Linked DNA regions of Oryzias latipes. The protein of the gene in region 1 purifies or fractionates together with the protein of each later gene. This does not show direct contact. Links are inferred from orthologs where the notes say so. Each region holds a gene or a part of one and is shown in the gene's direction. Other genes may lie near its edges.

Region 1 (5,120 bases):
TTGTCTGAGAACAACCACAAGGGGTTATAACAAGGACAAATGTAGTCTCACGGAGTTGGGAGGCAACAACACGCCGATCCATGCAAGCTGAGAATCACACTGTGTTAGCCCTTATTTATGGATTTCTTTTATTTTGTTCTACATTTTAAAATGTGCAAAACATTAAAAAAAGCTAGGTTCTTAGTGAAATATTCAGCTTTAAACCAAGACTATGAGATGCTTTTTTCCCCTAAATAAACTAAATGTTTAAACCTATGTCTCTTCATTCTTACGGGGCAACTTGAATAACAGACTCTAAATGTGATGTGCTTTGTTGGTAGCTCATGTGGCTATGCTTGACAGGAAGCCAATTGTCAGATGAGACTGCAGTGCCTGCAAGGCAGGTCAGCAGGATGCTGGACTCAAAACTCACTGCCTCAAAATGGCCTGCAGCAAACATTGACCAACTCATATATTGTGAATCAATAGCACAGACAAAGATGAGGTACTGGCGAACTGGGTTAGGACTAGATCATAAGCACTCAGTGGCTCAGGCGGTTGAGCAGGTCGGCCAATGATCGAAGGGTCGGCGTTTTGATCCCTGCTCCCCCCGGTCAACTATCGTTGTGTCCTTGGGCAAGACACTTCACCCTCCCCGCCTCCAGTGTGGTTCCACTGGTGTGTGAATTCGTATGAATGCCCCGGTGATGGTCAAAGGGACCATAGGCGCATACTGGCAGCCACGCCTCTGTCAGTCTGCCCCAGGGCAGCTGTGGCTACATCAGTAGTTACCATCACCAAGTGTGAATGAGGAGAGAATGAATAATAAACATGTTGTAAGGGTTTTGAGCGTCTGGAAAAGCGCAGATGAATCCAATACAATACTATTTTTCTTATAAATATAGTGTTTTTAATGTTTATTTGGAAAGTGGGAATTAGTTGAGCCCTGGTTTAGACATCTAATCAACCTAATTGTCAAGAAACAGAAAAACGACAGGTGAAATGTAGTATCAATAATTAACCCCATGCTTAAAGCAAAGCAAAAGAAAATATTTGATAAATGTATCTTTAACTGATTCATTTGTTATTGTTATTTTTTATTTCAGCTACTCCAAATTCTACATGATGTTTAATCAAAAAACAGCTCTTTCCGTTTTTGTGTAAGGCAACCAGCATTACACTCAAGTATAGTCATCTTTACCCGACTCATTTTCAATGTACCTAGTAAAGAATAAAGATAATGAAATCCCTTATAAGACTATTCTTGGCATAATTAACAGCCTTTTAGTGGCATTTCTTCTGCCCTATTTTGGCAAAATATCCTTTTCAGATTTCTAAATTGGTTGAGGTTACATTAGATGTTGAGCAGGTCTGGTAATTGTCAAGAAAAGAGTGAACACATTTTATACCATTTACAATCATATGGACATATGAGTTATTTCATAATAATATGTGTGATGTTTTAAGTGAAACATTTGACTCAAAAGTTACATTGAGCCACACTCTTTTATTTGCCCTACTTTTAATTTGTTATATAGTTCGTTTGTGTTGTGTTTTTTTCCCTTTGAAACTCATAAATCTGGAATTCTTCTCCCCTCATCCCCGTTGATGCGCATGTCTGCGCACATTTAGCGCAAACTAACGCCACTGAGCTACAAACTTTGACCTCTTTGCGCCGGAAGCAACGTCGACCAATCGTATCGCTCTTTGTTGGGAGGTGCTGATGCTCACATTTGTCGAAGGCTCATTGAGACAACATGGTAAGTATCGTTGCTTCAAGTGCTAGTTTTTGTTTTCATGTTATATGCTAAATGCATTTTGTGGCTTTAAATTCACTACTTCTTGAAGGTTATTTTAAAGCTTATTTTACTATAGAGGGGCTAGACGTTTCAACAAAACCGCGACGTTAGCTTTTTTGTTAGCATTTAGCCGAGTTAGCGTCATGTCATCGACTATCACCATGAGAAGAAACACTAATAAGGAAAGAATAAACTCCCAATTGTAAAATGAATTTTGTTCTGTCAGTGTGGCAGTAGATAATTTATGCATTTTATGTAAAGGTGGTTTGGTGTAAAGGTCACAATCGCTGCCTCTCTTACTCTTCTTAGCCAGAGCATAGACCTAGCCCGTGTCCTCCTCGTTATAACAATCATTAACTGATGCTTAAGAATTGAAGGAAGGGTAATTAAGAATAGGGACAGACTTTTTATATTTCATGATAATCCATCTATCTACACGAGATACTTTTTTATTGACCAAAATTATGTATTTTTACACTTTTGTACCTATATGTTTATTTGTGAAATTACAGTTAACCTAAACGATAACTATAACTTGCTCACTTTAAAAAAATGTATTATTTATAAACGTTTTAAATGGATTTCCTTAAAATAAATTGTCTGTGGTAGTTTAAGACTATTTTGGGGGAAAAACATCTTGACAATGAATAACTAGATTGTTTTTCCTGCGGATATACATTTAATTGTGCATGTAATTTGAATTGATTAAAGTTGTAGATGTTCTATTTTAACGTGTTAGATAAAGAAAAACAATACAGGCCAAGTTCCAAAAAGTTAGAACTAGAAGTACTGTTCAACTAAAGTTTAAATGTTTACAAATGGTTAAAATGTTATATTTGTCAGTAAAAATCAGCTTCAGGTGTCACAGCTCAACAGGAGTATGACTAGCATTTGAGTTCAATGCATTGTTACATAGTTGAAAAGTATTAACAGTCTGTGAAAAGCAACTTGAAAGCTAAAAAAAAAAAAACTTTAAAGTTGGAATTCTGCCTCTGTCTCAAAAATTGTGGGGAAGGGTAGTTAAAGCAACTGCTCTATACAAATCTAAACATATATTATTTTGATCAAAATTATTTTCGTTGAAGCTTTTATGTCCACTTAGAGTAGAAAGATATGGTAAATGGATCATTTCTATTGCAAAAAGTATGCTAAAGTGAATCATTTCCCTCCACTAACTATAATAGAAAAAAAACATCTTATTTGTAAAGTAACGAAAATACTAAAAGTAGATTAAAAAAAACTTGCCTAAAATAGAGCAAAATTTTCCCACTCATGCTGTAAATGTTTTGCTTTTTAACAAAATCCCACTAAAGTATGTTGTAGATACGAATGGATAAAACTGGTACACAGACGTAGTTGTTTGAATAAAACAATATTTTGTTTGTTATAACACCATCAAGCCGAAGAATTCTTACTTTCTTTTCTATCTTTTCTTAATTGGATTATTCTATATAAATACAATTCAAGTGGTAAATAGATCCAATGTCTTCAACTGTAAGTGATTTTAAACACAGATTGTTTAAATATATAATCACAATAAAGCAAATGAAATCAAACTTTATTTATAGAGCACTTTTTAATACTTTATTATTGCAAAGGTCTTCACACACAAAAAATCAAAGAGCCAATGCTGTTTTCATAAAAATAACATCAAACTAATAAAAACACAATGCTCTTAACTCCCTGATCCCATCACCTCCACATTAGAAAACATTAAAATGAGCATATATTTGAGAGTAGGAATAAAACCAAAGTGAGTATCTCTAAAGTAATTTAAATTAAAACTCTTGTTTTAACACGAATCCCCCCCCCTCCCCAAAGTCACATATTTATTAAGTGACATGTTTTTACTTTAGCCATCCATTAAGAACTGTTTCACTTTCCAGTGTTTTTTTTTCATTCCTGAATCTTTGGATTTTATTTACAGCCCCTTGTTTAACCATTTACCTGCTCAGTTTAGACTTTCTGGTTTAACTTGATGCCTTGTATTAAAAAAAAAAACACTTGAAAAAAGTGTTAAAAACAGCTGCAGAACTAACGGCTGAAAATATAAATGACTTCTGTAGATAAAACCTGATTTTTTATTATTACCTCTGACAACGTCTGGACCACCCCACCTAAAACTCCAACTTCTGTCATGAACGATGTCGTTGGTTTTGCTCCTTATTTTTCATGGGTATATTAGGGTGAAACTTAAAACCGCGCAAAAAAATTTCTGGCAGATCGTCTTAAAAACTCACAGTGGCTTGTTGCAACAGATTTTTTCTCATCTTTTTAATTTCTATCTCAGAATTGAAATGCTTGGAGGAACACAGAGTACAGTTTAGTTACTTCATTTGTTGTCCCCCTGAAAAATCCATTGTATGACGTCAAATATTGCCTGTCTAGCCAGTCAGAGAACCTATTACATTTAAATTACTAATTTTAATTAGTTTAGCTTGGCTTTTAAAACTCCAGCTTCAAATGAAAGTCTAAACTGGTTTCAATTAGGATTTAGAACATTGAAGTGCACAGTAAATGTAAAATCCTAGCAATGAGATTTGTTTATTTAACACCATAATCACTTTCAATTTTTAAAATCCTATAAAATGCTGTTTTTGTAGGAATTCTGTCATGACTAGTTTAAACAAAATATATTTTTTAATATATCAGTAAATGTATCATCAAAATATTGGGATTGCTATTTTTTTATACTGATTGACTTTAAAATACTTATGCATGTTTTTATGAAAGGAATGATATTTGTCCTCATGTAATTACAATGCTAACTTTAAGTTAGTTTGTTTCTATACTGCTTTGCTTTAAATATTTTCTTTGGCAGGTCAATAAACTTGAGGATTTAGATTTATTGGTTTTTCCTAAATAATTGACTCTTAAGGGACTTTCCAAAAGTACAAGTTATGAGTTCTGACTGTGTTTTGTTTCTTTTTCTTAACAGTCTTCAACAGAAGCTAACAATGGTCCGAGCCAAGCACCAGCTTATCCGGCTGTACCACCCTCAACAATACCTCCTCCATATGTGAGTGATGGATAATTTTCAAAAATATGTTTTTGTCTTTTTTATTTCTCTGTTGTATTTGGAGTAAATAAGAATTATGTTTGTCTTTTTTTCTCTTTCGCTTCACCAGATGGGACCGCCAGGAATACCACCTCATTTTGCTCCGATGGGAATGCCCCCTATGGGTCAGCGACCTAGCATGACTCCTATGCCTCCTGGTATAATGCCCCCTGGCATAATGCCTCCTATGGCAGCCCCACCATTGGGACAGGTATGATTGTATGACATTTGTACCGCCCATGCAGCTTCTTCTGCAATGTGTTGCAAGAAGTTGGATGCCGTTA
Region 2 (5,090 bases), on another chromosome or scaffold:
GACCTTCCTGACACAACCCTGTGTTTTATTGGGCTAGGGACCGGCACAGGAGGACGTTCTGTTAGGCAATAGTGGATGAAGCTCATGGGAATCAAACCCTGCTCTCCCATGTGCCGTCCTGGGCTAAACCAACTGAGCCATCCAGCATGCGATAAAGTAAGAATATAGTGAAACAAATGGCATTTTATGTTAAAAAAGGTAACGAGAATGGTTATCCTGACGATTTTAATGACAGAGTTATAGCTGTTTTATAATTTATTTAGGTTAAAACAAATTCATCAATGTTTTAGCAGGACTACAACATATAGATGCTAGAATTAGCAAAAGAGCTCATTTATTTCTGTATTCGAAAGGCAGGTGAAGGAGATCCGTCCAAACCACTGACCTCATTGAAGAGTAAACATTACAGATTAAGACATGAAACATAGAATAGCACAAAGTAGACAAATCCACACAAACCATTTCTCTGTAGATGTCTATCAGATTTGGCTTCTTTGAACCAGCAGGTAACTCTTGTTTGGAACCGCAGGGGGACGAGTCACTCAGTCCAGTTTTCATACAGTCAGTTGTTCATAGGTAGATAGGTTGGTTGGTTGATTGATTGATTTGGTTTGGTTTCTTTCAAGTATTAATTGTAGTCAATACAAGAGAAAAATCACACGGATGTATCAAACTCCTTACAGAGATAATCAACTGCATAGATTCAAACAAACAAACAAACAGAAACAAAGACACACTTAAGACACATTTAAATATAGTGATTATTAACTAAATAGTCAAGTAGAAAGTGATTTAGTGCTAGGAAAAAAAGGAGTTGGAAAAAGCAAATTCATATAATCTCACTCCTATTGAGTTATTTTGTGTGAGAGTTTTGCAGTTTTGGATGATAACGCTCCACCACATGCTGCCAGAATGATCACAACCAGTCTCTAGGCTCATATGGTCTGACCAGCAATGACCCTTGACCTGAACCCCATAGAGCAGGTCTGGGACCAGCTGAAGCAGAGACTCTTTTGTAATAAAATTAAGGGTATTATATTAGTTTAATCTGTGTTCCCCCACACTTCAATACAAAATGTAAAGTACGGTAAAACCAAAGAGCAATATAACACATGCACACTCTGACATGGTAAAATATACTTGGATTTGTTCAAAACAAAAAGGGTCTTGGTTACTTTATTTTTTACATAAAATATGAGATTTCCATGTTCATTTGTCATCCAACATAACCCCTAAAATTTAAATTCAGACACCTGCTCTATATTTATGTTGTCAATGGATAAAGCCACTTCTGTTTTTTCTTTATTACCAAATACCATAAACTTTGTTTTTGTTAATTATAATCAAACCACATTTTAAGTTTCATTTCCTTTTTAACACTTTTAAGTTAGGGTTTTAGATTATCCCTGAACAGAGAAATTTGTCTTCATGTCCAAATAAAACAAACTGCAACAACTTAGAAATACCCCAAACATTTATAATTGAACCTTGTGGAAGTCCACAAATAATATTCATGAGATCAGACTTATTACCTCCAAACTGCACATACTGTATTGTCTGTTTTGTAAATAACTGGTGGGCGATTGCTCTAACCCCATACGCATGCAGTTTAGAAATCGAGATAGAATGATCTATGGTGTCAAATTCCTTCTTTAAATCAATGATAACTTTTAATGTATTTTTCTTTTTGTCAATTGCTGTTGAAATTTCTTCAACTACTTTCATTGTAGCAAAACCTGTAGACCTATTAGAACCAAACCCATAGTGATTCTCACTTAACAAGTTATTTATTTTTTTAACAAAAAAATAAACTTTTAACAATGTCAAAGGAAACTTATATTTATTTCAATAAAATTCAGAGCAAAATGGGAAAAATCACATGGAAATCACATTGTCAATAATAAACTCATTGGACGGCGTCCTGACGTCATCACGTAAGTTACGTCAAAAGACGTACGTTCACGCGGCGGTCCCCCCCGCCATTTTATATTTTCAACAGGCCGAGCAGCCGCAGTACGCAGCCAGCTATCTCCACGTTGTTTTCAGCTCCATTTCCAGCATTTTTATCTTCACGGAGTCTCTTTTTGGCGGTTCTACGTTGAGCCACCGAACCCGCGGACAGTCCCGCTCCTCCTTCAGGTCCATGAACTAAAAGCTGCTGGACTCTGGAGGAGAGAAGGTGAGTGTAAGGGCGCAGTTAGTGGTTAGCTCCATGCTAACGGGAGCGCTACATCCCACGAGCGGAGCAGACGCCTCCGGCTGCCTCCGGACGGCCAAACTCTTAACTTGTACGCAGACCATAACGTGTACTACTGTGGGAGGGGGTTCCTGATGTTCTACTTCTGGATGCATGAAATGCGTTGAACGCGTCCCCCGTCCTGTGGGGAAGTGAACAATAAGCGCGTGAAGCTAGCTAGCTAGTACGGGTATTACGGCTAGCTAGCTAGCTAGCTAGCTGCCCTGACAGCTAGTTTCGCTGCTTCATTGTGTTGCGGCAGATCCGTGTCTGATATCATGCATGTTTTCCTTATCGATCAAGTGAAAGATGACGCAGTTCCTCCCGCCGAACCTGTTGGCCCTGTTCGCCCCCCGGGACCCGATTCCGTTCCTGCCTCAGCTGGAGAAGCTGCCCCACGAGAAGCATCACAACCAGCCGTACAGCGGCATCGCCCCCTTCATCAGACACTTCGAGGTGAGCGTCGCTGTCACGTGCGAGCCTCCGTCCCCCCGATGCCTCTGTCTCACCTTCCTACTGTTTCCCACCAGGATCCTAGAGATGCCCCCCCACCAACCAGAGCCGAGACCCGCGAGGAACGCCTGGAGAGAAAGGTGAGTTTCCTCCCCCCTTTGCACATGTGCTCAAATACAGAACCTGATGGATAAATAAACGGTTTATCTCTGCTTTCATCCAGAAGATTTCATATTTGCGTTTGTTTTGCTTTATGGCAGCTGGCAGTAGCACAGATTCTGTCACATCAACCCAATGAATCATGGGAGATGTAGTAAACTCTGTGACACTGATGCAAATCTCCGGGCTTCATTATTGGATGCACTTTTTACACGGTCTGACACCGGATCCTGCTTGAAGCTACACTTCCACCATTGTTAGCTGGTATTTTGTCAGGGTGAGGAACTGGGGGTGTTTTACAAACTTTTTCCAAAATAAGAGCCATTGGCCTAAGTTGCTGCACAGTAGTGGTGCAGACATTTTTTTTAATCAAAGTGTCTTAAATAGGAAGTAAAAGTCTTCTGTGATCTGTAGTACTCCCAACTGAAACCTGGGCGTATTTCGATGAACGTAGAGCTAATATTCTGGCGATGGAAAATGTTTTTTTTTTTAGAACAAATAGGTGAAATTGAGTAATTTCTCATGGCACACTCAACCATCTCTTTACTATATAAACCTCTAACCTGATCCTGTCTGTGCTGCAGCGTCCACCAGTCGTTACTGTTTGGATCTCTGATTGTGCTGCGTAGATAACGATGGAAGGCATGTATACAGAAAATTAGGATTAAAATTGCATTTGTTAGTATTGTTGTTTGAGAAACTCAACGCCTGGATAGCTCCTTTATCGCTCGCCATTTTTGTTGCACAGATAATGTTATGTTGGGGTTGTAACGTTTCAGTTGAGCGTCTTGAGCCATAAAGGAAATTTATTTGTGAACTTGTGAATTGACTGAAGCAGGAGTTTGGCTGTGAAGCACAGACCTAATGAATGCAGATTCTCAAAGGAGGGGTAGTTGAATTACAGTCCTAACTCCTTCATTCAGCATTTTCTGCCTCGGTGAAAACCTCTCAAGTCTATAGAAATATTATACCAGGCAGGAGCCCAGCACAGGTGCATGCTGGCAGCAGACAAGAAACCAAGTGCGGGATTATGTCAGCTCTGTGCTGATGCTCTGCTGTTGGAGGCTCTGCGGTTGGCCGTCACCATTTTCTTTTCTGTTTCCAGAGGAGAGAGAAGATTGAGAGGCGACAGGGAGAAGTGGAGACAGAACTGAAGCTCTGTGAGTTTGTCACTTTCTTCACGCCGTTCTCCTCAAACGGTGAAAAGCTTTGTGCTCATCCTTCCTGTTTGTTCCATGTCAGGGGACCCCCATAATGACCCCAATGCTCAGGGGGATGCCTTCAAGACTCTGTTTGTGGCACGAGTGGTGAGTATTTGTCTTGGTTCTTCTCACTCCTTGTTCACATCTGGTAATTAAAACCTTTTTGTTTCAGAATTATGATACGACAGAGTCCAAACTTCGCCGTGAGTTTGAAGTCTATGGCCCCATTAAACGGGTAGCTATTGATTATTATTTTTCTGTGTCCAGATTTTCTTCAAAACATGAACCCTTTTGTCTTTACAATGTGAGAAAATTCTCCTGGCTCTTCAAAATACTATAAAAAAAAGTAAAGAGCCGTGCGTGAAGCGTTTTGGCGCCGCTTTGTGCGTGTCGTCGTGCGCTGACTGCATGTCTGCTGCCTCCGCTCTGCCGAGTCTCACCAGGAGTTTTTCTTTTCAGATTTACATCGTCTACAACAAGGGAACAGGGAAGCCCCGCGGCTACGCCTTCATAGAGTATGAGCACGAGCGAGACATGCACTGTGAGTACGGCTGAGGCATCGGCCACCAAAGCCAGTCTGTGTTGGTGTGTGTGGATCAGAGCACTGCTCGTCACTGATGCTTCTGTAAGGAGACCAGCAAACTGAGCTCTGCTCACCAGATCCATGTCTGCTGCTCGTCTGACGTGTGTGTGTGTGTGTGTGGGGGGGGGGGTCTGCTCGATGTGTCGCCGGTGGACTAACAGTTGCGTTTAAAGGGGGGAGGAGTCATTTATTGGAGGCGTCGGGGTGGAGTAACAGAAATGTTTGATCTGTGAACCTGAACATGTTTGCTTGTCAAAGGGCACATTGTCTTTAAGTGTGAGGAGTTGTAGTTCAGTGGAAGAGCCGCTCTCCCGGTGGGACTGTGATGGTAAGCTCAAGGTGGACACCAAACACGGAGCAGGCTTTCTGCCAATCACTCGTCACCTTTAATCATTCAGTCTTGAGTTTGTCTGTCAGTTTGAGTGGTGGTCTTCAACCCTGGTCATGTTGGAATAAG
Region 3 (5,281 bases), on another chromosome or scaffold:
ATGGATATAAACAGTTAATATCACAGTTGTTCTTGAAATGATAGGTAACTGCAATGTTTTCACACCTGTTTCTAACGGTTGAGTTATAACATTAGCTTAGATACTAGAGCTAACAACCTCCGCTGTTGTAAAGTGGGACGCTCACCTGAAGAAACGAAGGAAGCAATGTCCGTGCTTCGAATTCGAGCAGCGTAATTCACGCACCACAGTAACTAGGTCCCCTTTGCATAGCTATGCAGCAGCCGAATACGCAAGCTGCTAACGTCCATAACACCTTAAAAAAACAAATGAAGTTGTGAGTGGCACCCGTTTACAAACGTAACTTCCGCTTTCGTCATAATCTAGCGACGAACTGAATCACACTGGTAAGAAATGAGAATTAACTTATAATTATGGTTCAGTTTTACTTCAACAAATATAATTAAGCTGATGTTGCAGGTTTGGATGGTTAAGGACACCAACAAATTGAATGTGCAGGGGGGAAAAGAAATACATCACACAAGAGTCTGCATGAAAGTTCAAACCTTTGCAAAGGGGATTTTGAGTGGCTTTATATTCTGTAACTGTGGTGTCAACAAACAAACAAACAAACAAACAAACAAACAAACAAACAAACAAGTTGTCTGTGACAAAGAAAACATTGTCAAAATGACTATAAAATTCTGCTTTTGACAGACACTTCTTTCCTGGGCACTTGTTTATAAACACCCCTCACTTATAATTTATTTATTTGGACTAAGAAATACATCATTTACTAAAACAAATATATATTTTTTGTCATAATAATTTCAACAATAATATGGGTCAGTTCCTTGACAGAAAAGGACATTTGTTTAGAACTGAGGAGTTTAATCTAACATATAGTAATACATATTTTTATGGACTCGAAGTCTAAATGTCAACACCATAAAATAAAGAAGATGAAAAGAGAAAATCAGTTACACCCCTGTTGGAAAATCTTGTTTCAAATTTACTCAGGAGAATAACAAAGTCATATGTGCCTTGTTTCAACGAGATGTTATTTCAGAACATTTTGTTGTCTTTTAGTGAAATACTTTTGTCTCTGACTTGCTATGGAAAGAACTTTCATTGCATCAGAAATAGTTGATTAATGACAAGATGAGCGATATCTCCTCTCAATTTCTGCACAGAATAATACTAGTCAAGATATTTAACATTGTAAAATATATTAAAGTTTGTTAACATTCTGTGAAAGAAAACCCAAAAACTCAGTCACCTACTTTGGAATTGTAATATTTATTAAAAATCTTTTGATTAGACTGTACATATTTAAAAAATTGCAACAATAACTCAAAATGCGATGCTCCAGTGCTGTGACTATATGTAAGGTCTGCATGGATTTGTATTATAACTTTTTCATTCATCCACACTTGTGTCGTGTATGTTTACAAAAAAAGTTGGCAAGAAAAAAAAAACAACAACGATATATATATATATATATATATATATATATATATATATATCGTTTTAAGATCTGAATTTACTAAATATTAAATTTTTCCAAAATACAAAGAAATCCATTTTAAAATAATGTATGCAGTCTATCCATACAAGGAACTACTATACATATACGTTTTGGTTTTCCAGAAAATAACTGTTCTTTCTGTGACATAAATATAGAAACACTTGATCATCTGTTTTTTTGAATGTATATATGTTAACAGTTTTTGGGAGAATTTCTTTTCTTGTTGCTCCTCAAAGTTTCCCTTTCCTATTTATATTCAATTACAAAAGCAGATCATATTATTTGGAGTAGTTTCTGTTGATAATATATTTGATTTGACATTCAATACTTTATTAATATCTGGGAAATTTTTCATTGATGAGAGCAGATTTTCAAAAACAAAACCATTATTCAATACATTTCATATTGAGATCAGTTTATATTAAAAATCTCTGATATTAATAAAAAGCAAAAATGCAATAAAATGTCTATTTTCATTGAAGATCACGCGTTGTATGAAAATCCCTTGTATTGTAAACTACAATTATATTATTTTTATTTATTTATTTATTTCTATTTTCTTCTTTTTTCTTTTTTTCTGTTGTAGCTTTTGTGTGTGCGTTTGTTTAAAGTTAAAATAAAAAATTACGTAACATCCGCTTTCATCATCACTTCGCGACCTCACACCAGACCGCAAGTGAAGCCATTTTTGGCCGTTGGAATGTAAGATTAACCTTTTTACGTATTTTCGATCTAAATAGCTTTAATAGCGGAACTTGTTGATTTAAACATGTAAGTTCGGAGGCTTTTTTATTTTGCGCGAAAGTTCCTTATAAAGGAAGAAGTCGTTTAACCGCGACGCGGGTGTAGTTTAGTCCCTTGTTGTGCTCAAAAAAAACAACGAGGGAACGAGTCCAAATAGAAGGTTTTTTTTTTTCTGAATGAAAATATTAGTGTAAGGGAAAATATTATGTAATTTACGGTCCTAAACATTTGGAATTAAGCTTAAAATAATTACAATTTATTGTGCACATGTTAAATGTCGGTAAAAAAAAAAAAAACACCGAAACAATTTTGAATTAATTAGATAAAAATGAAATGAAAAAGTTATATATATTCAAGTAATTAACGAGTTAAATTTAATTAATGACCTTTTTGGTGCAAAAAATTTGTATCTAGCACATTTTAAGGCTGTTTCTCTCTATCCAATAAAAACATAAATCACAATCCTTTACATAAACCTAGACATAATCACTTTTTTAGGTTTCTAGGTCTCTAATTTATGTGCTTTCTCGCCACATCAGGGCACCATTACCGATAAAGCGAAAGGAAGATGAAAAGAAAAACAGGGAAAAAGAAAAAATAAAGGAAGGAGACAAGGAAAGGGGTCGCGACAAAGCAAAGAAACGCCGCAGTGCTTCATCAGGCAGCAGCAGCAGGTGAGCTATTTTTTCTTTCTTATATTTAAAAATATAATATAGCATCCTGTCCTGGATGTTCATTCCCAACTAAATCATTGTTTGTTTTTGACCTTCCACATCTAGATCTAGCTCATCCTCCAGCAGCAGCTCTGGTTCTAGCTCTGGTTCTTCAAGTGGTTCCAGCTCCTCTTCCAGTCGCTCCGGATCCTCTAGCTCTCGGTCTTCCTCCTCCTCCAGCTCTTCGGCCTCTCCAAGTCCCAGCCGCAGACGCCATGACAACCGACGCCGTTCACGATCTCCGTCAGTCCATTTTCTCAGACATGAGACAAATATTTATATTGTATCTCAAAAATATTGACAATATTTATTCTGTAATTTTTTATCCTGCAGTTCTAAAACACAGAAGAGAGGAGAAGAAAGAGAACGAAGAAAAAGAAGTCCCACCCCTAAACCCACAAAGGTTCACTTGGGAAGGCTGACCAGGAATGTAACCAAGGCAAGCTAAAAAAACAAACAAAAGCTAAATCTTTGATTTTTAAAAAAAAAATTCTAATTCAATAAAAGCAGATCTTATTTTTCATGATAACTAGTTAGAATGAAATATTCTTTATGTTTATTGTCTGTCAAGATGTGCGCCTAAAACTGCAAGAATTAAATAAAAAGCTAAATATTTTGTTTTTAGTTTTTTTTAATGGAACAATCCTTCACAAAATAATGGTTAAAAACTAAATGTATGTTTCAATTTACTAGGAACACATCCAGGAGATTTTCTCTACATATGGAAAAATTAAAGCGGTTGACATGCCGGTGGAAAGGCTCTTCCCAAACCTGACCAAAGGCTTTGCTTACGTGGAGTTTGAGACCCCTGAAGAAGCCCAGAAAGCTCTTAAACACATGGATGGAGGTAGGAAAGAATCATTTAAGGGGCTGGAGAAATCATATTGACGAACATAAACTTGGTCAGGTAAAAACAAACCTTCCTGATGACTTTTTTAGGTCAGATTGACGGGCAGGAAATCACTGCAGCTGCTGTGCTGACTCAGCTGATCCGTGGTCCTCCACGTAGACTGTCTCCTCCTCGAAGAATGCCGCCACCTCCACCGATGTGGCGCCGCAGCCCACCACGCATGAGAAGAAGGTTATTTAAAAGCTTTCACTTGTACCTTTTTAATATTTTTAACGTTTTATTATGCGGTCCATTGAAACGGAATCTTCTCCCACCTACTGATGCTCGTCCTTTTTTTGTGCCTGTTTAGATCACGCTCCCCAAGGAGGCGCTCGCCACCACGTCGCCGCTCTCGCTCTAGGTCTCCTGGCCGCAGGCGCCATCGCTCTCGTTCAAGCTCAAATTCCTCCAGATAGAAAGTTGTCTTTACTCTAAATACTCGCCGCAGATCAGCTGCAGTTTTCGCATTTCCTGGCTCCTCGGACACAAAGGATCTATATAAATTGCAGTAAATTTAGCTGAGTTCGTAGTGACAAGGAGACGAGAAAAATTCTTTCTTTTTTTTTAAATTTTGTGCTGAAAATTGACTGTAGTTTTTATGTTATGTCTGATGACATCTAACAAGATTTTGTGATTCCTTCATTCGAGTTGATTTTTTTTTTTGAAGAATTTTGAGAATAAAACCTATGAAACATCTTGATTCTGATTTCTGTCATCTTGTGATCCGGCTCAACTATTATTCTGATTTCTAGTCACAAAAATACTTTTAACCCTTATGTGGTGTTCGGGTCTGTGGGACCCGTTTTCATTTTTTATCAAAAGAAAAATGATACAATTAATTAATTTTTCAAACTCAGACTCACTGGCCTTGGCTCATTTTCTGTGAAGAACAGATATCAGAATACATTTTTAATGACCACACACCGTATACCCCCCCCAACACATTTCTATTACATATAAGATGTTCGGGTCCACTGGACCCAGGGCTAATAGAAGTGTGGAAATTGATGTTTTTATGTACCTACACTCTGTCCTCCACCTGTCTGGGCCTGCTGTGTGTGTGTGTGTGTGGGTGTGTGTGTGTGTGTGTGACCAGTGAGAAAGAGAGAGAGAGAGTGGCAGAGAGAGAAAGATTCACTGTAAATGTGAGTTCTGTTTCTGCACCTGCGGTTCCCGCACAAGGTTGCAACATTGTTAGAATAATTCAAGCATCAACTCTGTTTGCTCTCGTTCTCCCGCACATTTGATCATTTGACTTTCTTGCGGGAATCTTTAATATCTCACATAGCAGATAAAGATCTGCTACAAATTGGAGGCGGGACACTATAAATATAGCTTTGCCAGTGTGGTTTCTCATCACAACTGATCAAAATGGCCAAAAGACTTTCTGCGCAGAGGGCCCTGGAATTGATTTTAGAAGAGAGAGACGTTTTCGATGATGATGTAGAG
Region 4 (4,555 bases), on another chromosome or scaffold:
GCATCCACAGTTGATGCGTTCGTCTCTAAACCTTGCATTGCTGTCGCAGGTTCTGGTTCCAACTGCGGTCACCATTACCCAGAAGCCCATAGCTGCAAAGAAGGAGCACGGCATGGGGCGGGCCAGGGATGCGGACGACGGCGCGGGCCCCACCACCACCGTGTTTGTGGGGAACATCTCAGAAAAGGCCTCCGACATGTTGGTCAGGCAGCTGCTGGCTGTGAGTTTGCACCCATTCAGATGCTTTTACTTTGAAAAACCTGTTTGTGGAGGCTGTGAACTGCTGAAGTCTCACCACATTCTGTGGCATCGTTCTCAGAGTAAATGTTTAAAGTTTGTAGTTCCTCTGTAAACCTTAAGTCACAAAAATCTCAGTGATGTTGGTGTCTGAATACTTTTAGTGTGTCTCGTGTTTTTCTTGTCAAATGAGTGAACCAGCTCACCTCCGTTTTCATGAAACAAAGGAATTTAGGATAAGATCAAAAACTGAAGGGAAGCTGAGCGCCCGCTGTGCCTACAAATGACAGCTTTAAAGCTCTTATTTTGATAGGATTAGGATAAAGCTACAGAAATGTTTGAAGATAAAAACTGATCAGTGAAACTAAAAGTTTGGAAGCTTTGAAATGAACGACACTTTCCTGAAAGGACAGGATTCAAATGGAGGGAGAGGGATTTCAAAACGCCCGATACCAAAATAGATATTTTTAAAGATTTCAAAGCCGTTTTGGTTTTGAGTTTAAAACGTTTCAAACGTCTCCGGACCTCCAGCTGCTCTGATGTAAACGTTCAGCCATCTTTGATTAGACTGTCAACAGCTTTGTGTTTGTCTGATGCAGAAATGTGGGATTGTTCTCAGCTGGAAGCGAGTCCAAGGTGCTTCTGGGAAACTTCAAGGTAAACGAAAACTCTTTGGGGCTTTTCTTCTGAAAGGATTTTCCTTCCTGGTTATTGGCTTTCAGAATAAAACTTTCTACCAGCAGATAACAAGATAACAAATAATAATATTTTTATTATTTTTTTTAAAAATAACAACAAAAACTGTTTTGTTTATATTCACTTTGAAATGGAAGCACAACCTACAGATTATTGGGTTTAATTAAAGATGCGTCTAAAAAGGGGTTTTGAGCTGCGTTCAGTTTGTTGGAAACTTCACAATCATGGCGTTAAATTACATGCAGCTCCTGTTCTGTTTTCAAACACACTTAGAAAACGCTGCTTTTCTGAGTTGTGGTGAAGTAAATGTCAGAGTTGAAGCAGACGAGCAGAGATTTTTTTCCCCCTTTATTTTCCCCTTTTTTTCTGCTTTAGTTGAGTTTTGAAAGCTGGCTGAGATAGCTGACAGACTCGTGTTAGTTTAGAGAAATGGAAGATGCTGAATAGTCCTTCCTGTTGTTTCAGAATAAAAGCCCAGCATCTTCAGCTGCTTGTGATGTAAATGCTGTCTTAGAGAAAAACCAAAATAGAAAAAAAATCTATTTTTTTCACAAACTTCTTGCTTTTTTTCAGTAAGTTTTTTTACTTAAACAGAAACAGAACTTTCTTCATCTTCTTGATTTCTTCAGCCTTCGGTTTCTGCGAGTACAAGGAGCCGGAATCGACACTCCGAGCGCTCCGGCTTCTGCACGAGCTCCTCTTAGGGGACAAGAAGCTGCTGGTGAAGGTGGACGCCAAGACCAAGGCTCAGCTGGAGGAGTGGAAGGCCAAGAGGAGGAGCGCCAACGGGGTACGCAGCTAGAGCTCAAACTAAATCGCCTCTGATTCTGAAGATCCCTCTAATATTTCTGACCACTGGATGTAAAGGAGACCGGCGATGGGTTGAAAAAGCCAGATGAAGATGAGGAGGAGGTCCTCGACGAAGAAACTCTGCGGCGGGACCAGGTGGCGAACGGCGCCATCGAAGTCCTCCTCAAAGAGTACTCGAGCGAGCTGAACGCCCCTTCCCAGGACGCCGACAGTCAGCCGCGCAACAAGAAACGCAAGGAGAAGAAAGAGGAGGTACTCTGCACGATGAAGACGCCAGCGCAGGCGTCCGCCGCTCTGCGTTGGTCTTTAGAGGCTTAGTGTTTCCGTTTCTCTTCTGTCTGTCCTTCGGGTAAGGAGGACATCAACGCCATGGAGATGGAGGACGACAAACGAGACCTGATCTCCAGAGAGATCAGCAAATTCCGCGACACGCACAAGGTGAGGCGTCGAACCCACAACCTTTCACAAAGCAGAGTCACAGTTCTCCCTGAAGGGAAGAAGTTTGATTTCCTTCTGAACCGTAGAAACAAAAATTAGAAGGTTTTGCTGGTATTTTTGGGTTGAGGATAGGAAGTTAGTGTTTTATTTGAAGTGGTAAGGTGCTCAGATACGATAAAGAGATCTCCTCATCGCACGTGACGGAGGTTTGGAATCGCCTTCTGGTCGTTTTTCTTCCCAACAAAAAACGTTTCCACGCTGATTTTTTTTTTTTGCATCGCAGCTCGTTCTCTGTTTACATTTATCTGCTGCAAACCTCGTTGCTCTGGCAACCACAGATCCCGTCAACGTGTTGCCAGTTTAACGGCGTTTTGACGCTTCCAGCTGCTGCCTCGCCGCTGTGCTGCATCGTCCGTGCAGACGTGTGATGAAGGCTTTGGTAGGGGAGCATGTTCTCCTGTTTTTACAGCTTCTTTCTGCTGTTTGTGTTCCTCCTGTTTGGCTCCACGTTGATGGATTCTTGAAGTGAGAACAACAGGCATAAAATCTGGATCCTGGCTCCTCATGACTTCCCAGCGGTTTGCAGCCGCCGTCGTCATCGTTTCCAGACAAAGCTGCTCTGATTTTTCTGTCCCAGACGCTCCGTTCTCCACCAAACGTTCTTGTCTGGAGCATTTCTAGCTCCTGTAAACGTGATCTAACGTTGGAGGGAAAGCTGCGTGTGAGCAGACTGACCGCCTCTCAAGTGTTAACTCATGAAAACGGGTCAATGATGTCGGAACGTGGAGTAAACATCAACACAATCAGCTGATCACGTGACCCACTTACAGCTGATGAAGCTGCAGAGCCTCGTGTTCATCATCAATTCACAGATTCACCGCAGTCTGCCGGGACAGCGGGGAATCTGTTTCCCGACATCCAGCGGTTTGCTGGTTTCTGTCAACGCTGCGATGCCCCGCCCACTGTGGCGGCTTCTCTCCATTCGTTTGTAAAATCAATCCTTTCAGGGATTCTACGCCTTTAAACGTTTTATAAAGTCATATCTAGAGCTTTTAATTCTCCAATATTCATTAATTCAATCATCTATTGAGACAACTGAACTGAAAAAAAATTGTGGTTTTTTTTTAATCAGAAAAAATAAATCATATGAATAAAACCATAGAAAACAAAATATGTTATTAGTTATGTAGCTCCTTAATATTCTGACTTTTTATGAGGGAAGTGAATTTTTTTGTGACTCGAATCTCTGTCGTATTTTCATATTCTTTGTTCTTCCTGCTGTGAGTCATCGGCTCGATGCCAACGTCCTGCTTCCGGGCCGCAGCTTCAGATCGAATCCATCTCCCGACTGTTTGCATGACTGAACGCTAATGTGGAAAATATGCAGACGCGCTGTGGCTGAAGGTTATTCCCAGCTCCCGTTACGTCACAATACTCCTGCAGAGGTCAAACGGCTCGGTTCCAAAACAGAAAATCCTTCCTATCGAGTGTTTCAGGAAGAATGTGTCCCTCTACCCCCCCACCTACATGACCCCCACAGTCTGAAGATAGAGCGGCAGTTCTATGAAAACCAGGGGAAAAATAACCTTTTTTGTTTCTGCAGAAACTGGAAGAAGAAAAAGGAAAGAAGGAAAAGGAGCGTCAGGAGCTGGAGAAGGAGAGGAGGGAGAGGGACAAAGAAAGGGAGCGCGAGAGGGAACGCCGCGACCGCGAGAAGGAGAAGGAGCGCGAGAGGGAGCGGGACAAGGAGCGCGAGAGGGAGCGGGAGCGCGACCGGGAGCGTGAGAGGACGAAGGAGCGGGAGCGGGAGCGGGACAGGAGCCGGGACGTCAGCGAGGCTCGCAGCCGCTCCAGGTAGTCTGTCCAGTGGGTTTCAGTGCTTCATGAACCTCTGAAGCCTCAACAGCTTCTGTCTGCCACTCCGTCTTTCTGAGGCTTCCTGCTCGCCCCACTAAATAAAATCGTCAATTGTATCACTTGACTCTTGTGTCAAACTGTCATTTTTCAGGGAGAGGACAAGAGAAGAAAGGAAACGTGAGCGTGATGAAGACGAGGAAGATGTGTACGAAAGGCGGAGGCTGGAGAGGAGGCTCAGAGACAAAGAAGCTGCTTACCAAGAAGTATGTTTTATCCATTGACCCTTTATGACAGCGGTCCTCAACCCCCAGGTGGTGGAGCGGTACCGACCTGTGGGACAGAGAATGAAAAAAAAAAAAAACATTCATTTTCTACGTTTTCTTTTTAATCTGTTTCTGAAGGAAGTTTATTTTGAAAAACCTCTGGCTTCTCCACCACATCCGACTCTTCCTTGACGCTTGTCAAGTCTCTCGGTCGCGTGTTGTAAATCCATCCACTGCACCGATCGCTAAATTAG
Region 5 (5,049 bases), on another chromosome or scaffold:
ACACCTGTGCTGCCCCCCAGAGTTAGTTGGTATTATGATATTCAAATCAAAGTGCACCTTATAGATGTCAACACTAGAGGGCGCTCTGCGCACAGTGTTTCACCAACGTTGAATTCAGTTTGAGGCAGTAGTATAATCATACTGAACTGACTAAACGTCTGCTAAAACGGCTTTCTGCTTTGATGGACTCTACCTACATGAAGGACAATCTTCATGGACACACAAGTGAATGATTTTCTGTCTGTTTTCCACAGGAACTGTCGCACACAGACAAGCTTCCCCACCTTTGTGAGGACCACTGATGGTGTATTTCACTGCAGCTCTTCTGTTTCACACTCAACAACCTGGTTTCTGAGGATCACAGCAAGATTTTTGGAGCTTTTAACTTGTACAGTTTGATGTATGAACTTCACAAAAGTCCTTTTAGTTTTTTTACACTAAACGAGTCAAAGTGTAATTTATTTCAATAATTGTCCTCTTTCGTCTGAGTGGTTTCTTTGGGATTTAAATTGTCTGTTTTTCACATTTATTGATTCCAGCACTTTTTGTAATCATGTGATCCGTGTAATGTGAGGTGTTTTCTGTTCATGTGGTGCACAAAGGAAATAAATTATTTCCTCACAAACATGGAAGACATTCTTTCTCCCCGACAAGTGTCGGATCTGTGGGACATTTTGAGAAGAACTCATTGAATTTCTATTCCGTTTTTCCCTTTCGGGGTCACGGGGCTGCCGGAGCCTATCCCGGCCACTTGTGGGCGAAGGCAGGGGACACCCTGGACAGTTCGCCAGTCTGTCGCAGGGTAGAATGTCCACAATCACACACCCATTCACACTCACACTCACACCTATGGACAATTTAGATTAACCAATTAACCTATGAAGCATGTTTTTGGACAGTGGGAGGCAGCCGGAGACCCCGGAGAAAACCCACGCATACACGGGGAGAACATGCAAACTCCACACAGAAATGTCCCCCATTGATGTTCTGTTTCAGGTCCCCCAGCCGGGACCTGAACCGGGGGCCTTCTTGCTGTGAGGCAACCACTGCGCCACTGTGCAGAGAAGAGAAGAACTGCGAAGCAAAAAAAAAAAAAAGGGAAATGTAAAAAACACACATATTTTACCCAGATATAGAAATCCAAAACTCACCATGAACTGATTTACATGTCATGTTAAAGCTAAAAGCTGAACGGAAGTCATTAGTTTGTAGCTAAAAAACTGATGTGGAACAACAGATGTGTCATTTGTTCCTAGTACATACATGTAAATGTCTCGACAGATTTTACGACATACATGGAGGAGAACGCTGAAGAGTCGATGAATAAAGAACATGTTAGTTTAGGAGAGGTGGCTGTCAGTTTATGACTGGACTGTTCATCAAGAGGAATAAAACGGATGAGTCACAGAGAAGTCATGAAACAGAGGAGAGCAAGCCAGACTGAAGTCAGAGCTGAACATTTGTGAACAACACCTTGGTTTCATGCAGAGAGAGACAACCACAGACGATTTGCTCTGGGAAGGAGGTGAATGAAGGTCAGCTGGGGGAAAAACAGAGTATCGTTGGCGTTGCTCACTTCATCAACGACCACCGGGCACGGCGGGTCGTTCTGGAACAGGATCCGGGCTGCAGACAGTCTCTCCTCCAGGCTCTGGTGCTGACTGATGTCATAGTTGTTGGAGGCCCAGCCATCAACTTTGACAAACTGACTTTGAACATTTTCAATTCATAGCAATCTGTTTCTGTAATTTTTCTTTTGTAATACATGTATCTATGTACCATCCCCTGGCATTCTCGTTTTTAATGACTGTTGTTCTTGTTATACATATTTGTTCTATTTGTTTTGAACAATAAAGTTTAAGAAAAAAACTTTGACAAACTGACTGTGACGGAACGGTGCGATAGGGGGCGCCAGACCCCCGACTCGGTTACATTCCCGTCAACGAAGAAGAAGAGCAGGGAACGTCTGCCGGGTCACGGTACCACCGCACCGAACCAGTGCCGGGTCACGGTACCACCGCAGCCTCAGCAGCCCTTGTTCGCAGTAGTTAGCGCCATGGCGGCGGTGCGCAGCCTGCGGGTATCGGTGAAACCAGACAGCGGCTCAGAGCACTCGGAACCGGATTCCGAGTCGGACCGAGATGACGCTCGCGAAGCCGAACCGATGGAGGTGGAGGAGGGCGAGGTGGATGCAGAGGATATCTCCGTTAACCGCTCTCTGAAGGAGCTTCTGCCGGTAAGACCCCGAACTACTTAGGCCCGCAGAGCCGGGGACTGGAGTTTTGCTTCAACATACAGAGTCGGCATGCGATTATTACCCGAAGCTCCGTCTAGTAGTTCCAGGAATTAGTCGGTGACGGGCGCCGCTGTTAATGCTCGCTGCAGCCACGGGGATTTTCTCTTTTCTGGGCCCCTTAGCCAATAGAGAGTTGTTGTGTCGCTCACCTGTTGATCTTTACTTACCTAAGAAACGGCGGTGAGTTTGGAGAATCCGTCTAAAAACGTGCATATATTATAAGCAGAGCTTTCTGCGGGGATTCAGCTAAAATGATCGATTAGCTACTGTCAGTCCATTATAATTATAACCCAGTCTCAGGTCCGGGCCAGCCCATTTATGACCTAGTCTAAGTCTGGGTCATTCCATCATGACCCGGTCTTGAACCAGCTCAGTAGCCTTGGGTTAGTGTCCGCCCTGTGACTGGAAGGTCGTGAGTTCAAATCCAGCCCGAGTCATACCAAAGCCTCTAAAAATGGGACCCAATGCCTCCCTGCTTGACACTCAGCATAGGGGTTAGATTGGGGGAGTTAATGAATAACCCCCTATATGGTGGATTAACTTAATCCACCATAAAGTTCCGTCCGAGCGCGGCTGTGTCCGCAGCTCACCGCTCCCCCAGGGGTGGGGTCAAATGTGGAGAACAAATTTCACATACCTAGTTAGGTGTGTGAAAGTTAACGGTACTTTAAGTTGTACTTTTCTTTAGTCTGGCTCGGCCCATTATGACCCGGTCTGGCAGATGACCTAGTTCTGCCCGCTCTGTCTCTGCAGGACACCAGCCGGCGTTACGAGAACAAGGCCGGAGCGTTTATCACCGGGATTGACGTCAACTCAAAGGTACCGCAGCCTCATCACGCAGCTGCCATGTGATCAGCTCGTTGTTGGTAAAAAGCATTGAAAGCATGAAATAAAGTTCCAGTCCAGGTCCAAAAGTGCAAGGCCTCATGAAAAAGAACCTCACTGAATCACCCACCTGGGTGCCGACCTCTCCAAGCCTGGCTTGGGAACGCCTCGTCTCTCCTCAGACTGCTGCCTCTGCCACCCAGACGATCAGAAGAAAGTAGACGTGTGACCTGCCTTCACCTCCAACCACAAACCATTAACTCTGACGTGAAGGAAGCTGTTACCATGGTAGCCAACTACAAACCGGGGTATGACACAGTTGTTTGTGTTTTAGGAGGCGATTGAGAAGAAGGAGAAGCGAGCGCGACGTTTCCATTTCTGCGGCGAGCAGAGCGTCAGTCAGAAGGCCGTCGTCCTGGACAAGGAAACCATAAAGAAAGGTGGGGGTGGCTCCGGGTTTTGTCGTGTCCCGAGGTGGTGTTGGTGTATTGTTGACGTTGTCGTCTGCTTCAGCCATTCCCCGCCTGCGGCTGGAGGCGCTCCACGTCACGGGCGTGGACGACATGAGCACGCAGGACATCTTCGGCTATTTTAAGGAGTATCCTCCCGCCCACATCGAGTGGATTGACGACGCGTCATGTGAGCGCACGAACGTTTGCAGGACGACAGGAAACCCAAAGAGGGTCCTGAGGTTTAACCACCGCTTCCATCCTTCAGGTAACGTGGTCTGGTTGGACGATGACACCTCCATCCGAGCGCTCATCAACACTAGCAGAATGCCCGACCCGGAGGCCGTTACCACGGAGACCGGAGAGCAGCCAGGCAAAGAGAGCAAAGGTCAGCGAGTGGAAACATGCTCTGACTTTCCGAGGCCGCAGTGCAGCCTGGGTAATGGCTCTATCTGCACACAACAGCTCAGCGAGGTCCAGACTCAGAGGATGAGGAAGAGGAGGGTGAGGTGGGCGATGAAGAGGACGGGGCAGCCAGAAGGAGCAGTGAAGTGCAGGAGGAGCAGCAGCCGAAGGAGCGCGGAACACAGGTAGCTGTCACCAACCGCACAAGCTCATTGGTCAGTCAGAGAGTGGGGGGTGGGGGGTCTAAAGCTGCGTTCACACTGAACGGGAGTGAAGCGTCAGAAAGATTCTGGCGAGCGGTGAATATTCTGGCTGAACTTTGGTCACGAATTCGCGTCACGTCAACCAATCAGGGAGTCAGCTTTAGCCCAGGATGCTTTGATGACGTGATCAGCATCTGGAGGCCAAAACCAACATGGAGGACAATCTGACCGCTCTCCTCCTTAACTTTATGATTTTTCTTTTTTCCATAGAGACAAAAATAAAAAAAAATTCTGGGATTTTCCAAACCTTTAGCCCCTCCCACACACAGCAGGAGCGTCAGGTTTACGACAAGCTTCCAGGAGCAAATTTAGCGCGTGTCAAAACGGAGGAAACAAATTCGCCAGGAGAATTGAGTTTGCAGTAAACTCAGCAAGAGGCTGGAGTCAGGAGGAGCTGTTGACACGTTTATGTGTGTGTTTATGTGTGTGTGCACGACTCAGGTGGACGACCTGTCGCGGGCGGAGAGAGAGTCGCTGCTGAGGAACGAGCCGCGGCCCGCCATCAAACCCTTCAAGGGGAACAAGCTGCTGCTGCGCTTCGCCACACAAGGTGAGCCGCCGTGTCTGTGGGGACACGCCCACCAGGACGGCGACTCTCAAACCCTGAAGCCCACCTGAAACCACAAAACCCACTTTTGCAGCACGTTCCAAATTACACCAATGACATTTTTCTGTGATTTCTCTGTAATTGTCAACGCAAACGTCAGTCAGCAGAATGTTCAAGTCAGTAAGCGTTAGAGTATAAATAACGGTAAATGTTACTGAACACAACCTAAAGATAAAACCCTCAAAGTCACTGTTCCACATTATT
Region 6 (4,193 bases), about 20 Mb from region 1:
GGCGGGCAGGCATGGATTCCTGCTTTATGGGGGGCTTTGGTTAACCTTCTGTCCGTGTGCAGGACTCTGTGATGCTGAACGGTTTTGGCACGGTGGTGAACGCGCTGGGCAAACGCGTGAAACCGTACCTGCCTCAGATCTGCGGTACAGTGCTGTGGCGCCTCAACAACAAGTCCGCCAAAGTGCGTCAGCAGGCGGCGGACCTGATCTCACGCACAGCGGTGGTCATGAAGACCTGTCAGGAGGTAGGTGACCCCGCCCCCGTAAACCTGCAGCTCAGGCCTGAGGCCTCACCCGCTCTGCTGTCCCTCTGCAGGAGAAGCTGATGGGCCATCTGGGGGTGGTGCTGTACGAGTACCTGGGAGAGGAGTACCCCGAGGTTCTGGGCAGTATCCTGGGCGCACTCAAGGCCATCGTAAACGTCATTGGTGCGCCGCCTCCCCTCATGCACGACCTGCCCAAGATTTGGTATTACAGAGAAAATCCTGACTGGTTCTTGTTGCAGGAATGCACAAGATGACCCCTCCTATCAAAGACCTGCTTCCTCGCTTGACCCCCATCCTGAAGAACCGGCATGAGAAGGTCCAGGAGAACTGCATCGACCTGGTGGGCCGGATCGCTGACAGGTCTGTTGGTTCTGGAGGTTTTGCTGCCGTTTCAGCAGCTGTCCTTTAAACCATGTTTCCTTTTCTTGTCAGGGGGGCCGAGTACGTGTCTGCCAGGGAGTGGATGAGGATCTGCTTTGAGCTGCTGGAGCTCCTCAAGGCTCACAAAAAGGCCATCCGCAGAGCCACAGTCAACACCTTCGGTTACATCGCCAAAGCCATCGGGTGAGTGCTCATCCACCACCACCCGCCGTCCGCAGGCGGACCTGCTCTCAAATGTTCCGGTTCTGTCTCGCAGCCCTCACGACGTTCTGGCCACACTGCTCAACAACCTGAAGGTCCAGGAGCGGCAGAACCGGGTCTGCACCACCGTGGCCATTGCCATCGTGGCAGAGACGTGTTCGCCTTTCACCGTGCTGCCGGCGCTCATGAACGAGTACCGAGTCCCCGAGCTGAACGTGCAGAACGGCGTCCTCAAATCTCTCTCCTTCCTGTTTGAGTACATCGGAGAGATGGGCAAAGACTACATCTACGCCGTCACGCCGCTGCTGGAGGACGCGCTGATGGACAGGTGGGGCCGTTTGTTATTCTCCCCCCGTTCAGCAGCATGGATGTGCTTTAGGATCTCCTCTTTGCCGTGGGAAAAATGTTTGTGAGGATGGCGACACCCAGTTGTCTTATTGGATAGCAATTTAACTTTTAATGCTCATATCAACTCAGTGGTGAAATCCAGTTTTTTTCACCTGAGACAACTGGCCGAGGTTAAACCTCTCCTCTCTCACCATGACTTTGAGATTTTAATCCATGCTTTTATTTCAACACGTTTGGACTACTGTAATGCTGCTGCCCGTCTTCTAACTGGTACACGGAAACAAGAACATATCACTCCCATTTTAGCATCTCTTCATTGGCTCCCAGTTCGCTTACGCATTGATTTTAAAATTCTCCTATTTGTTTTTAAATGTCTCCGTGGACTCGCTCCAAAATATCTGTCTGACCTGATTCAGGTGTACACTCCCCCCCGCTCCCTTAGGTCAACCAATCAGACACAGCTGGTCGTCTCGAAGACCAGGAGAAAACGGAGAGGTGACCGAGCCTTCTCGGCCTTCGGACCAAAAATCTGGAAGGAATTGCCCCTGTACCTCAGACAGATAGACTCACTTAGTATTTTTAAATCTGCTCTTAAAACATATTTTTTCACTTTGGCTTTTAACTGAGTTGGAGTCCGGACCTATTTTATGTGTTTTATGCTTTATATTTTCATGTGCTTTTATTAATTTTTGTGTTGTTCAGCACTTTGGTGAACCTTGTTCTGTTTAAAGTGCTTTATAAATAAAGTTGAGTTGAGTTGTCTTATTGCCCCAATTTGAGTCACTATGGGTCGTTCCTGCACAAAATGCAGTTCTTAAACTTGAGGGGTACCTACAGAATACTATATATATTATAAATTGTGGATCTTCTAGTGGCTTAAAGGCTTTTCTGAAAGAGCGGATTCTATGGTACATCCATGCCAGATCTGGTGCTGCCTCCTCTACATGGAGCAAGAACCACTTTAACCACAAACGGATCTGCTGCTCAGAACGCATTGGCTCTCTGTGGTTCTGACCCGTTTGCTGTGCTTCACAGGGACCTGGTCCACAGACAGACGGCCAGCGCGGTGGTGCAGCACATGTCTCTGGGCGTGTACGGCTTTGGCTGCGAGGACTCCCTCAACCACCTGCTGAATTATGTGTGGCCCAACGTCTTTGAGACCTCGCCACATGTCATCCAGGCGGTGATGGGGGCCCTGGAGGGTCTCCGGGTGGCCCTCGGCCCCTGTCGCATGCTGCAGTACTGCTTACAGGTGAGGCCCAGCCTCTAACCTCGACCACACTGGTGCTCCTGGTTGTGGTGTTTTGCTAAAGTCCGGTTCTCGTCTCTACAGGGTCTGTTCCATCCAGCTAGAAAGGTTCGAGATGTCTACTGGAAGATCTACAACTCCATCTACATCGGCTCCCAGGACGCCCTGATCGCGCAGTACCCGCAGGTCTACAACGACGACAAGAACGTGTATGTGCGCTACGAGCTAGAGTACGTCCTGTAAATATAGCTGCCCCCCTCCCTTAGGGTCTGCCATGACTCTAGGCCCGTTTTTATTTTTAGTGTCAGCCTCTCTGTTCAGGCCAGAAATCCCAGACGGAGCAGAAGGTAGTCTGTAAGGTTTTGTTTTTTTACTTTGGTCTTTTTGAAGTGTTTGCTGTAAGAAGGGGGGTCAGTAGGGGTGGACTCCTCTTTAAGTGTCTGCTTTCTCTGTCCTTGTTGATTATTCAAACACCTCCCTCATTTTTCAAACCACCTCTGTTCTTAGATCAAGGATTTATTTAATCAAATAAAACATTTGTGTATAAAAACTGTGTTCTGTGTTTCTGCCTCCACCATCACAGACTAGACGGGGTACCGTGCTGGTGGACTCCACCGTCACAGACTAGACGGGGTACAGTGCTGGTGGACTCCACCGTCACAGACTAAACGGGGTACCGTGCTGGTGGACTCCACCGTCACAGACTAGACGGGGTACAGTGCTGGTGGACTCCACCGTCACAGACTAGACGGGGTACCGTGCTGGTGGACTCCACCGTCACAGACTAGACAGGGTACAGTGCTGGTGGACTCCAGCATCACAGACTAGACGGGGTACCGTGCTGGTGGACTCCACCGTCACAGACTAAACGGGGTACCGTGCTGGTGGACTCCACCGTCACAGACTAAAAGGGGTACAGTGCTGGTGGACTCCAGCATCACAGACTAGACGGGGTACCGTGCTGGTGGACTCCACCGTCACAGACTAAACGGGGTACCGTGCTGGTGGACTCCAGCATCACAGACTAGACGGGGTACCGTGCTGGTGGACTCCACCGTCACAGACTAAACGGGGTACAGTGCTGGTGGACTCCAGCATCACAGACTAGACGGGGTACCGTGCTGGTGGACTCCACCGTCACAGACTAGACAGGGTACAGTGCTGGTGGACTCCAGCATCACAGACTAGACGGGGTACCGTGCTGGTGGACTCCACCGTCACAGACTAGACAGGGTACAGTGCTGGTGGACTCCACCGTCACAGACTAGACAGGGGACCGTGCTGGTGGACTCCGTCACAGACTAGACGGAATACCGTGCCGGTGGACTCACCCGTCACAGACTAAAAGGGGTACAGTGCTGGTGGACTCCACCGTCACAGACTAAACGGGGTACCGTGCTGGTGGACTCCACCGTCACAGACTAGACGGGGTACAGTGCTGGTGGACTCCACCGTCACAGACTAGACGGGGTACCGTGCTGGTGGACTCCACCGTCACAGACTAGACAGGGTACAGTGCTGGTGGACTCCAGCATCACAGACTAGACGGGGTACCGTGCTGGTGGACTCCACCGTCACAGACTAAACGGGGTACCGTGCTGGTGGACTCCACCGTCACAGACTAAAAGGGGTACAGTGCTGGTGGACTCCAGCATCACAGACTAGACGGGGTACCGTGCTGGTGGACTCCACCGTCACAGACTAAACGGGGTACCGTGCTGGTGGACTCCAGCATCACAGACTAGACG

What was found.
Region 2: the proteins of prpf40a (region 1) and snrnp70 fractionate together in Homo sapiens (co-fractionation; 3 studies listed by BioGRID, with this or other methods). This does not show direct contact. The link is inferred for Oryzias latipes from reciprocal best matches to the Homo sapiens genes PRPF40A and SNRNP70.
Region 3: the proteins of prpf40a (region 1) and rnps1 purify together in Homo sapiens (affinity purification with mass spectrometry; 4 studies listed by BioGRID and IntAct, counting the BioPlex papers as one, with this or other methods). This does not show direct contact. The link is inferred for Oryzias latipes from reciprocal best matches to the Homo sapiens genes PRPF40A and RNPS1.
Region 4: the proteins of prpf40a (region 1) and RNA-binding protein 25 purify together in Homo sapiens (affinity purification with mass spectrometry; 5 studies listed by BioGRID and IntAct, with this or other methods). This does not show direct contact. The link is inferred for Oryzias latipes from reciprocal best matches to the Homo sapiens genes PRPF40A and RBM25.
Region 5: the proteins of prpf40a (region 1) and ncbp3 purify together in Homo sapiens (affinity purification with mass spectrometry; 3 studies listed by BioGRID and IntAct, counting the BioPlex papers as one, with this or other methods). This does not show direct contact. The link is inferred for Oryzias latipes from reciprocal best matches to the Homo sapiens genes PRPF40A and NCBP3.
Region 6: the proteins of prpf40a (region 1) and sf3b1 purify together in Homo sapiens (co-immunoprecipitation; 3 studies listed by BioGRID and IntAct, with this or other methods). This does not show direct contact. The link is inferred for Oryzias latipes from reciprocal best matches to the Homo sapiens genes PRPF40A and SF3B1.

Annotation. Positions count from the first base shown.
Region 1 is NC_019879.2:20,298,312-20,303,431, reverse strand, and holds the start of prpf40a (pre-mRNA-processing factor 40 homolog A), read left to right. Parts: upstream 1-1,613; 5' UTR 1,614-1,736; coding exon 1,737-1,739; intron 1,740-4,716; coding exon 4,717-4,797; intron 4,798-4,906; coding exon 4,907-5,047; intron 5,048-5,120.
Region 2 is NC_019866.2:24,779,323-24,784,412, forward strand, and holds the start of snrnp70 (U1 small nuclear ribonucleoprotein 70 kDa), read left to right. Parts: upstream 1-1,974; 5' UTR 1,975-2,179; intron 2,180-2,539; 5' UTR 2,540-2,545; coding exon 2,546-2,692; intron 2,693-2,766; coding exon 2,767-2,829; intron 2,830-3,953; coding exon 3,954-4,008; intron 4,009-4,090; coding exon 4,091-4,155; intron 4,156-4,222; coding exon 4,223-4,285; intron 4,286-4,509; coding exon 4,510-4,591; intron 4,592-5,090. UniProt on the Homo sapiens protein: Component of the spliceosomal U1 snRNP, which is essential for recognition of the pre-mRNA 5' splice-site and the subsequent assembly of the spliceosome. SNRNP70 binds to the loop I region of U1-snRNA.
Region 3 is NC_019866.2:11,024,122-11,029,402, reverse strand, and holds rnps1 (RNA-binding protein with serine-rich domain 1), read left to right. Parts: upstream 1-2,094; 5' UTR 2,095-2,186; coding exon 2,187-2,188; exon of another isoform or gene 2,189-2,255; coding exon of another isoform or gene 2,256-2,257; intron 2,258-2,769; coding exon 2,770-2,904; intron 2,905-3,009; coding exon 3,010-3,186; intron 3,187-3,276; coding exon 3,277-3,382; intron 3,383-3,636; coding exon 3,637-3,790; intron 3,791-3,882; coding exon 3,883-4,024; intron 4,025-4,142; coding exon 4,143-4,248; 3' UTR 4,249-4,532; downstream 4,533-5,281. UniProt on the Homo sapiens protein: Part of pre- and post-splicing multiprotein mRNP complexes. Auxiliary component of the splicing-dependent multiprotein exon junction complex (EJC) deposited at splice junction on mRNAs.
Region 4 is NC_019880.2:1,892,759-1,897,313, forward strand, and holds part of RNA-binding protein 25, read left to right. Parts: intron 1-49; coding exon 50-220; intron 221-836; coding exon 837-894; intron 895-1,562; coding exon 1,563-1,723; intron 1,724-1,800; coding exon 1,801-1,995; intron 1,996-2,097; coding exon 2,098-2,181; intron 2,182-3,784; coding exon 3,785-4,035; intron 4,036-4,189; coding exon 4,190-4,301; intron 4,302-4,555. UniProt on the Homo sapiens protein: RNA-binding protein that acts as a regulator of alternative pre-mRNA splicing. Involved in apoptotic cell death through the regulation of the apoptotic factor BCL2L1 isoform expression.
Region 5 is NC_019872.2:24,106,523-24,111,571, forward strand, and holds the start of ncbp3 (nuclear cap-binding protein subunit 3), read left to right. Parts: upstream 1-1,915; 5' UTR 1,916-2,056; coding exon 2,057-2,236; intron 2,237-3,049; coding exon 3,050-3,115; intron 3,116-3,455; coding exon 3,456-3,561; intron 3,562-3,634; coding exon 3,635-3,760; intron 3,761-3,838; coding exon 3,839-3,958; intron 3,959-4,035; coding exon 4,036-4,160; intron 4,161-4,679; coding exon 4,680-4,788; intron 4,789-5,049. Other genes in the region: rap1 GTPase-activating protein 2, read left to right, coding at 255-302. UniProt on the Homo sapiens protein: Associates with NCBP1/CBP80 to form an alternative cap-binding complex (CBC) which plays a key role in mRNA export. NCBP3 serves as adapter protein linking the capped RNAs (m7GpppG-capped RNA) to NCBP1/CBP80.
Region 6 is NC_019879.2:170,843-175,035, reverse strand, and holds the end of sf3b1 (splicing factor 3B subunit 1), read left to right. Parts: intron 1-62; coding exon 63-245; intron 246-316; coding exon 317-428; intron 429-505; coding exon 506-626; intron 627-698; coding exon 699-830; intron 831-903; coding exon 904-1,176; intron 1,177-2,231; coding exon 2,232-2,448; intron 2,449-2,529; coding exon 2,530-2,688; 3' UTR 2,689-2,995; downstream 2,996-4,193. UniProt on the Homo sapiens protein: Component of the 17S U2 SnRNP complex of the spliceosome, a large ribonucleoprotein complex that removes introns from transcribed pre-mRNAs.